Regions from separate parts of the Mus musculus genome. Here region 1 is reported to be linked to region 2. The links are microRNA targets in miRTarBase. Many come from high-throughput screens and were not tested one by one. Region 2 holds a microRNA gene; the other region holds the end of a gene's coding sequence.

The links. Region 2 holds the annotated microRNA mmu-miR-3104-3p (ACGCUCUGCUUUGCUCCCCCAGA, at 2,131-2,153, opposite strand). A microRNA usually pairs through its seed, bases 2 to 8, with sites in the 3' UTR of a target mRNA and lowers its output. Matches are read on the target gene's strand: a 7mer-m8 pairs with bases 2 to 8, a 7mer-A1 pairs with bases 2 to 7 and ends in A, and an 8mer does both.
Region 1: the mRNA of Ndor1 is a reported target of mmu-miR-3104-3p. Seed matches in the 3' UTR shown: 8mer at 3,795-3,802.

What each region holds. Positions count from the first base shown.
Region 1 is chr2:25,243,636-25,248,709 of GRCm38, reverse strand. It overlaps Ndor1 (NADPH dependent diflavin oxidoreductase 1), which reads left to right. Exons shown (of 14, transcript NM_001082476.2): 10 at 1-78; 11 at 225-374; 12 at 470-588; 13 at 656-750; 14 at 856-3,897. The coding sequence ends at 1,000. Rnf208 (ring finger protein 208) reads right to left here. Exons shown (of 1, transcript NM_176834.2): 1 at 4,449-5,074. The coding sequence ends at 4,617. Among named protein-coding and RNA genes, the nearest start is that of Rnf208, 3.2 kb to the right of the region's middle.
Region 2 is chr7:141,989,297-141,994,370 of GRCm38, reverse strand. It overlaps Mir3104 (microRNA 3104), which reads right to left and starts at 2,192; the gene lies at 2,130-2,192. It overlaps Brsk2 (BR serine/threonine kinase 2), which reads right to left. Exons shown (of 20, transcript NM_001009930.3): 13 at 2,071-2,131; 14 at 1,052-1,259; 15 at 608-656.

The DNA of each region.
Region 1 (5,074 bases), not on the chromosome of region 2:
TAAAGTACCAGACTCGTCTGAAGGAGCCCCGCCATGGTCTCTGCTCCTCCTGGCTAGCATCCCTGAATCCTGGGCAAGGTAAATCCATAGTTCTGGGGCTCGGGGTTGGGAGAGAGTATAGCCTCAAGTGCCCATCTTCCCCTGTTCCTGCTACCCCAGGAGCTCAAGCACTTAGCACCTTAGCACTGTCTTTTGACCTCCTACATGCCATTTCCCTTCTGCAGCAGGACCTGTCCGGGTGCCTCTGTGGGTACGTCCTGGGAGCCTCGTGTTCCCAAAAACACCAGACACACCCATTATCATGGTGGGGGCTGGAACTGGTGTGGCCCCCTTCCGAGCAGCCATTCAGGAACGAGTGGCTCATGGCCAAACTGGTGAGTACTGGAGCTCCAAAGCAGTGTGACCTGACCACTGAGCCTGGTCTAGCTGAATTTCTGCATCCAGACGGGGACCGCCCTATGTACCCCAGGAAACTTCTTGTTCTTTGGCTGCCGCCAGCGGGATCAGGACTTCTACTGGCAGACTGAATGGCAGAAGCTAGAGCAGAAGGGCTGGCTGACCCTGGTTACAGCCTTCTCCCGGGAGCAGGTGAGTATATTCAAGTTAGATAGGACAGGAGTTGGGATGGCTGAAACTTAGCCTCTGACACCTGCAGGAGCAGAAGGTATATGTGCAGCACCGGCTTCGAGAGCTGGGGCCACTTGTCTGGGAGCTGCTGGATGGCCAAGGTGCCTACTTCTACCTAGCAGGGTGAGCAAACTTGGGAATGTCGGGGGGTGGACCAGCCTTTAGGGAAGGGTAGTAGTAAGGGTTGGGAATCGGGATCACTGAGCTTTCTGAGGCCTGCCTTTCCAGCAATGCTAAATATTTGCCTACGGATGTTTCGGAAGCCCTTATGTCCATTTTTCAAGAAGAAGGACGACTCTCCACTGCAGATGCATCTGCCTACCTTGCTAGGCTCCAGCAGACACTGCGCTTCCAGACTGAAACCTGGGCCTGAGGAGCCACTTGCTAGCTCACACTCACATTAACAGCTGCATTGGGTAGCCTGCTGGAGTCTAGAAGGCCCATTGTTACCTCTTGCCTTCTAATCCCAGAACACTGGGTAGACCCACAGTTTCGCTTTTTTGGTCCAGCTGACCAGGAGGGCAGTCCTTGCGTACAGCCAAACTCAGTGGAACCCAGTGTCCCATACGTAGGCCCAGCCCCGGTGCAGCTAGAACTCCTGGTTTTCTCTCAGACCCCTTCATTCTGCCCCAAATCTGCATTTATAGTCCCTACCACCAAGGGCCTGCTAAGCCCTCCAAAGGACATAGAGCTGTGCGGGCTGCACTGCCCGTCTGACCCCGTGCTATTCCCATTAGTCCCATAACACCTGTGCAGCTCAGCTCAGTTGAAAAGCCACCAGGGACCAAGTCTCCTGAGCATTGGGAATGGGCAAATCTGTCTGTCTGCAGGTCCATAAACATGAGTTAACTGCCTGGGTAGCCGCTCACTTCTCTTTTATTGCTTCTAGATTTGAGAGTGGTGGTTGGGACATGGATTATCTGCATCTGCTAGTGGTGGGCAAAGAGCCCTCCAGGGCATGAGCACAGGCTTGTACTGACAGTTTAGCCAAGCTAGTCCCCTTCTCTGATGGCCACACAACTCAGCCAAGCTCATATACCCTTCTCTCATGGCCAAGCAGAGAGGGCTTAGAGAGCTATTTATTTGGAAGTCCCAGCCAAGAGCCAGCATGCACTATTCTTTCCAAAGAACTGAAAGAATGATCAGGTGGAGGGGGTGTGATTTGTGTTGGCCCGCCCATGGGCAGGGCCTCCACTGCTGGGAAGGAAACCCTGTTGGAGCAGTCAGACAGGTCCAAGGGCAGCTGGGCGCTAAGGAACCTCGGTTCTGTCTGTCAGCTTGTGGAAAACAGGGACCAGACCAACACCACTCTTAGGCCTCAGATACCAAGAGTTGACATGCTGCGGGGACCCAAGTGAAGCTTACTTCCAGTGAGGTCAGCAAGCCGAAAGGGTTATCTAGAGGTTAGTGCTCAGGTGGATGGGTGGAGGCCAAGCTCTGCCTGGCTCCTGAGGGCCACACCTTCATATCTACAACAATCCCTGCAGTCATCCTGGAGTCTCCGTCTACGCATCCTGACCTCTGTTCTAGTGGTAACCTGGGACCTAATGACACCAGCTCTGTGTCTACTAGTTCACCCGGTGCTTCTCTGGGTCCTGAGCTCTTGGACCCACTGTGCCAGCTACCAGCAGATGGAGAGGATGATCTCAGGGCCCCTCTGGGTGCCAGAACTCCAGACAGTAAACCGGAACTGGAGGCCAGAGACCCATCCGCTGCCAGGGCCCTGGAGTCAACTGTGGAAGAGCAGGAAGGTGAGGGGCAGGTTGTGGAGGAGGAGGAATGTCCCATCTGTGCTGAGCCTTATGGGCCTAGTGAGCACCACCTGACCCTGCTAAACTGTGGTCACAGCCTGTGTGTGGGCTGCCTACACCAGCTGTTAGGCATGACCCCCAGAGCTGACCTGGGCCGTGTGTGCTGTCCACTGTGTCGTCAGAAGACACCTATGCTAGAGTGGGAGATCTGTCAGCTGCAGGAGGAACTGCTTCGAGCTGATGGACCCCAGCGCCCAATGCGGACTGCATCCGTCACAGCCCTGCATCCTGGCCCTTGGCCCTGGGGTCCCTTAGAGCACCGCTACCAGCTGCGCTTCCTGGCAGGGCCTGTGGGAGGGCGAAGCTGTCTCCCCTTCCTGCCCTGCCCTCCCAGCCTAGGCACCTGGTTGTGGGCACTACGGGAACGTGGCCCCTGTGCCCGCCGCTTGTCACTGCTGAGCCTACTGGTCCTTGAACTGCTCGGGCTGGTGGTCATCTTCATGCCGCTCCTTTTACTAGGGGTGCTCTTCATGCTGCTAGACCGTTCCACCCACTAAGCAGAGCCCAGAATGCTGGCCAAGCTTTGAAGTCCATGCACGCTTGGATTCTGGTAATCAGCAAAGACTTGTTATCACCAATACCAAGACTATACATGCCTAAGAGCCTACGCCAGCCAGAGTGCTTACACACCCTTGCAGCCTAGATATTAGCTAAAGCCAAGGACACAAGGACAGCCTCTGAAGGAGCTTGGCCTGGCAGAAAGAGTTGTGAAAAGAACCCTATGTGCTTGCCATGGGCGGTCATCTCACTGGCCACAGGCAGAAGCTGGGCTATACCGCCAGCTCGTAGTCCAGCTGGTGAGAGTGGACACAAATGTGTGATTCCAACAGTGATTCTGTTTATCCTGAGATCTGTTCATTGGAGAAGGCAAGGGCTGCAGACTCTCACCTGCACCAGACAGAAGCTGGTGTGTGTCCTGAAGGCAACAGCAGCAGCCACAGTAACTACCAGGAGAGGCCTGCACTGCACAAGCCAGCCTTCAAAAGCTCCCACCCAACCTAAGCTACTCTCACCAGAGAAGGTAGCCCAGAGGAGCTGGGATCAATATTGCCTTTGTTTTGCAAGGGCCCATCCAGACCCTGAAGCCTCCAAATGCCCAAGGTCTAGCTCTGTTCCTAGTTGACTCTGCAATTCATGTCACTGGACCAGGAGCCCTCACTTGGGAGATGCAGACAAATCTAAGCTCACTTCATGGCTCATTGGTGACACAATGTAAGGTGTAACATTTCAGGCTGAGTCCTATATAACAAGCATAAGAAAGGCTCTCAGACCAGGCAGTGGTGGCGCACACCTTTGATCGCAGCACTTGGGAGGCAGAGGCAGGTGGATTTCTGAGTTCCAGGCCAGCCTGGTCTACAGAGCGAGTTCCAGGAGGACAGCCAGGGCTACACAGAGACACCCTGTCTCCCAAAAAAAAAAAAAAGTTCTCAATAAACAGTTGTTACTGATTCTATCATTACCTCTGCCATCCTCATTATTACTCCATCTCTGCCATCCAGGCACTCTCCTCACAACCCTTCAATGGTACCTGTTCCAGTCATAGGCAGATCATTTAAAAGACTGCTGGGTCCTTGGTCGTAGCCAACTGTAAGCCTCTACATATGCTGTCCAGAGGCTGTTTCCATACATCCTTGGCCAGAAGAAAAGTACGTGGGTTTTTTGGACAGGATCTCTTTGTGCAACCCATGCCGACTTCACAACCCTCCTGCTTTAGCTTCCAGTGTGCTGGGACTACCAATGAACTTCACCACACACAGCTAAAAGTTCTGTCTCCCTAGCTGGGCCCCATCTCCATGTACCAGTGTGTTCCCAGCTAGTCCAGACCTCCTAAGCAGTACACTCGGGCCAGCTTGCCCTTCCACAAGCAGAGCAAGCCAACCTTGAATGGAGCTGGTTCACCCTCTGGCAGCTCCTGGTTAGACCATGTTGGACTATAGCCTTGGGAACCTACCCTAGGTCCAGGCATGGGCATAGCCCACAGGAGTTAGCTTCAATCAGTGAACAAGTGCAAACTTTGGCAAAGAGTTTTAATGGCAAAGTTGGCTGCAGCGACAATGCCACGCAGGGTAGGGCCAGAAGCCACAGTGGGCAAGAAAGGGTCAGCGGGCAACAGGACAAAGCCAGTTCCCTGAAGAAGCGGCGAGCAAGGACCTGCAGGCAGTAGTGGGCAGGTGGACACTACATGATGGAACAGGCAGATAGTGGGTTCCGCACATGGCAGGTGCATGCAGCTCCACAGTACTGCCGGAAGGTCTGGTAGCAGCTGCCTTCAGATTCACCCCCCCACTGTCCACCGGATGGGGCAGTCAGGGCTTCAGGTGGCAAGCGGCTCAGGATGGATGTGTTGACAGCCAGTGCAGCCAGGCCATAGTCAGTGAAGAGCACAGTCTCACGGTGGCAGGTGGGACAGGAGATGAACTTGTACTTAGGGCAAGACTCATAAAGAATCTGCAGGCACTGCTCACACACGGAGTGCAGGCAAGACAGCACACGGGGCCGCCGTTGAGTGACGTTGTATGTATGCCCACAGGTGGGGCATTCCAGGGGCTCACCTGCTATCACTGGCCCAGACGATGAAGGTGCAGAGGCTGTTGGGCCAGGTCGAATCACATACTGATTTACAATGACCTCATCCA
Region 2 (5,074 bases):
CCAAGGCCTTTCCTCTTGTCTGGCCACTGTGTGAGGTGGCACAGCTACAATGATGCAATGGTTTTTGCCAATACTTTCCCCTACCCTCTGCCCCAGTCATAGGACGTTTTCCTACTTTCATGCCAGTGGCTACCAAGGAAGTAACTACTGAGAGGCCACCGTGAAAGGTACAGAGAAGCCACACTGTACAGGCCCTCAGTGTCTGTAGGGTGGGTACACTGGGCCCACCCACATTCCCTTCCCTCCAGCTGAAGGCTAGAGCTACTCTGTCTTTCTCAGACTTCTGCCAATAACCCTAGTGCTCTCCCTGGGTCCTGTATCTTGTAGCTGTCCTTCTTCCTCAGCACAAGCCTGTTTTTCCTCATGTCCAAACCCTCCCTGTGATCCCTTAGACTCTAGGGAAGCCCAGAGCACACCCACTTGTCCCCAGCCAACTCTAGAGTTGTCATTTCTCATGTGGACAGAACCTAAAGTTCATAAACACTCATGGGCTGAGTCAGGCCCAAGGGGTTCGGGCCAGGAACCAAAAGCCCTCAGGTGGTTATCCCCTGCCTGATGGGAAAAATCCTGGGTCCCTCTCTCATCAGCCTCAAGCAAAGCCACTTACTCTGGAGAGGATTCTGGGGTCAGGTTGGACATCTCCTCTGGCGTGGGAACTGTGCACAGGAAAGGACAAAGGCAAGGTTGGATGTTGCTGCAGGTTCTAGTCTCAGGACCATGCCCATTTTGTCTTCACCTCCCCCGCCCCCCCTGCTCAGCCTGCTGTCAGAGCTCTGGTGCTGAAACCCCATTGTGCTTCTCCAGGCCCCAGATGAGCAGAGGAACTGGCTCCAGCATAGCCTAAGACCTGTAGTCTTTCTGACCACCCAACAGGCCTCGCTGCCCAGAAGATGATAGAACAATTCTGGGACAAGAGGGTACAGGGCAGATTCAGAGGCCAGTGCTTATGGAGAGGCCCACAGACCCGCCAGCTGTTGGCATGTTCCATCTGAGCAGTGCAAGACCCCCTGTGCAGATTCCACCACCTACCCAGCCCCATATCAGCGCTAACCTTGGAGTTTCCGGCGGTGGAATCGAGGTGAGCCCAGGAAGCTGTTCTTGATGGAGTTCAGTCGTGTCCGCCAGGGCACTCCTCCAACACTAGGGCTGGATGGTGGTGTGGGGTTGGGTGTGCCAGCTGGGCTCTCCTTTGGCGTGTGGACAGGCGTCCCTTTGGGGGTAGGAAGGGGACTACCCCTTGGTGAGGGGTGAGGGGTCACCTGTATGGTGGGGACAGATTTGGTGTTTGGTTCAGTCCCAGTTGGCAGGAGCCGAGCAGGTGCCGGCAGGGTGGGTGGCCCAGGGGACAGGGCCAGTGGAGTGCCAAGGCTGGCTCCAGGAGGCTGGGTCTGGGTGCAGGCTGGGAGCGGGTTGGACTTGGTGCCCTGCAGCGGCTTGTCTGTCAGCTTGGCCTTGCACGGCAAGGTCTGAGTCTTGGGGTTGGGCCGCAGGGCGGCCTGTGGAGAGAGGATGTGTCCTGGCCGAGAGGTGCTCCGACAAGCTTCAGGCTCCGAGGAGGTGGCCAGGGAGCAAGCCACATAGGGGAGCTCAGGGGGCAGAGGGGGCAGGACAAACTTCCTAACAGGCTACAGTGACGCAGAGTGACGTCAGGAGGGGTGGCCGCGAAGTGGAGCCCGTGCCCACCCCACCCACATGCACACATAGCAACCAGGATCAGTGATAGCATTCAAGCAGGAAACCCAAGCAGGACCAGAGGGAGGGGACAGACATGGGGAAGGTTTGCCACAAAAAAATAAAATAAATAAAAAATAAAACCAAAACAACAACAAAAACAAGTGACATACAAGAAAACGGACAACACAAAACAAAAGAACATGCAGTTAGCCAGAGCCCAGCAGCAGAGCAGCAGCCAGGAGGAGCCCACAAAGGAGGCCTGTGTGCAAGGCAGAGATGGGGCTTTTTCCCAGTCTGTGGAGGCCCTGCTCCCCACCCTGGGTTCTCTAACTGGGGTCCCTTTTGATTTCCTGAGGCTAGCTCTGTAAGTGAAGGCTTAGGAGGGTAGTCACTCACCCGAGGACTGCTGAGTGGACTTGTAGAAAGGCCTGAGGACGCACCACTGATGGATCGAGATCTGGGGGAGCAAAGCAGAGCGTCTGTCAGTTCAGCAGAGGGCTCCGGCTCCTGCCCCCTAGTTGGCCTTTCCGGGAAGCGTGGGGTCCTGACCCGGAGCTCCAAGGCCGAGGAAGGTCTCTAGAGGCACAGATGTGTCCTGGGGCCATCCTGCTGACCTTGGCTGTCACCACCCAGTATGTATCCAGGGTCCCTGGGGCTCCTCCACACTGAGGAGCCACCCACCATCGACCCCGGACAAGGTACAGGAAAAGGTACTAAGTGACTATCAACAAAAGTCCACAGACACTGTGGACAGAGATGCAAGGACACGCTATGGGGGATTCCTGTAAACTAGATCCAGGCTTATGCAGTCCATGACCCCAGCACCCAAGTCCAGCCTCTTCAGGACTGTGCTATACAGCATTCAGTATATGATTCACTACATGGGACTTGCCCAGTCCTTTCACATCCACAGCTACCTACAAGAGAAGCCCAGGGCCAGCCCATAGCCTTCATCTTAACCCTCTATTGCCCCACTGGGCTGAAGACCTAGCCTGCAAGTAGCAGGGAGCAGGTACTACCCCTATGTGTCCGTTATAACATGATGAACAGCTAGCTAGCTGCCCCACAGGTCAGAGACAATGCCTTCCATCCAGCTCACCATGAGAATGGACACAAAAACACAGGTTCACCCTTGGCTGTGGGACCTGTCATCTTTGCGGGGGGAGTGGGGTAGGGTGCAGCCACAGGACAAAAGAGGATGAAAGAGCATTACACCAGTTTGCACTGCCCTGGCCTGCCCACCACTAACCACACTATACACAGTGGGTTTCTGGTTCTCACCTAGGCAACACCAGTCTCTGTTGGCTCCTTTCCAGCTCCTAGAGCACCTGTAACTAGAGCCCTGTGTCCATGACTTCCAAGTCTCTCTACTTACTGCTAAAGGAGCCTGAGGAACAATGGAGACCCGTGGCCAGGGCAGCATGCCTTAGTCAGGGTGGTACCAGGGCTCCCCACTGGAACAAAGGTCCAGATGTACAGCTGGGAGCCAGTCCCTGAGAAGATGGAGATGGGGTGGAGATACCAGGAGCCAGGGAAGAGGGGACACAGCCACAAGCAGTGAGGCCTAGTCTAGGCCTCTGATCCCACCATGCCAGACAGGAACACATTGCTGGGCACAAGGGAAGAAGAAGGGAAGCTGAGACATAAGCATGGGAGCCACATCAACCTCTCTGTCTAGCGATACTGGAACTGAGCTGCAATTTGTCCAAAGTAGAAAAGATGACTCCAGCCCCGAGGGAAGCCAAGTAGGCAAGAGGCAAGCAGGAAGGGGCACAGGCAGGTACAGGGACAGTATGGAGCTCAACTGGATGTGGCCTAGCTAATCAGCAGCACACGTGGGCAGCAGCTGTTACTGGCCTACTGCCACCTGCCAGGAGCATAGGACACTTAGCCACTTCATCTAAACTGGCCAGCCCTTGTGGGAATAACACCAAGACCATCTGGATAAAAGAGTGGCAGGGGGTGGCAGGCCTGCAACCATAAGGCAGGTCTGTGCAGGGTGCAGGGCAGTACCCATTGCGGGCCTTTGCAAGCCTTGAGTATGAGGGCCTCTGGCTTGGGCTGGCCATGGGCCTTGCCCCAGCAACCCCACCCCTCCTTGCATCCTTATAGCTGCCCAGGCTAGCTCTTCCCCTGGACTGCTAGATAGTTCCATTCCCAGAAAAGAGAGGTGGAAGTGTCTGTCAGTAAGCCCTGCCTCCAGGCCCGCCTCTGTCTGCGGAGCTCAGGCAGGAGTCCTGCATCTAGGGCTGGGAGGGCGGATTGGATGGGCAGGGTGTATACCTGTCTTCTTTGCTGAATTGGGGATGGGCTTCAGCGATATCCAGGCTTTTACTGAACACTGCTTTACTACAGCAGGAACAAAGCGAGAAAACAGAGTTACTGCCCGGCCACACGCACGCAGGTCAGCTGCTGGGCCATGTGCTGCCTGGCCCTCCAAGCATGGCCCACCAACCCCAAGCCAGGGGACAGAGATGAAGAGAGAGGAAGGGGACAGAAGCCACAGCACAGCCTGCCCTGGGTGACCTTCCAGGTAGGGAGGTAGCCAAGCTTAGAGATGTCTAGACTCAGCACCAGCCACAGGATCCCTTGTCCCCACCAGTGGTCCCATCAGAGCCCAGTGTCAAGTGGCAAAACCAGAGCAGAAGCAGGCTAGATGTTCCAGGACAAAGGGCCTTCCAGATTCCCTTGGAGACAGACTATCCTACAGATGGGCCCACCCTGCAGCACATAGGTCTGGAAGCTCAGGGCTGAGCACTGACCCTTTGGGGTTCAAGAGAGGCCAAGGAAAGGCAACCATCTCTTGAGTACATGGTGTACACTAGAGCTACTGGGAGAACTATGCTGAGGTGAAGCATATCCACAAGAGGCAGAACCCAGGAGAAGGGTTAGGTAAGAACATGGCCAAGAGGGACCCCTGCTGTCCCGCCTTGTTGCCAGAAGCCAAGGGATTGTGAGCCATGGGTGGCTAGAAAGTTGGGAGAAGTTTCTCAAGGAGTGAGACTTTGAGGCTGGAGCATGAGCTAGCCTGGATCCATGGGGAGCCTGGATCCATGGGGAGGACCTAGTAGGTCTGAGATACCAGCACACTAAAGTCAAGGTAGAGGAAGTGCTATCTTGATGACTACCTAGCCATGACATGGCTCCCAGTTACTGACAAATTCAGGGGCAGAGCTGGCTCCCAGCAGAAAGAATGGGCAGTGGGTGCTTCATGCAGAGTACAATGCTGACTCTGCGGGCAAGGCCTGTGGGATCTCCCAGCTCAGGCCTGTTGACAGATGACCAAGCCCGCCTGCCTGTTAGGGTGCTCCACTCAGCCAGAGCCCAGATTTGCAGGCTCTAAGTGCCCTTCTTCTCAGCACTCTCCTGCCCACATTACTGCTACTGGACACCTGGAGAT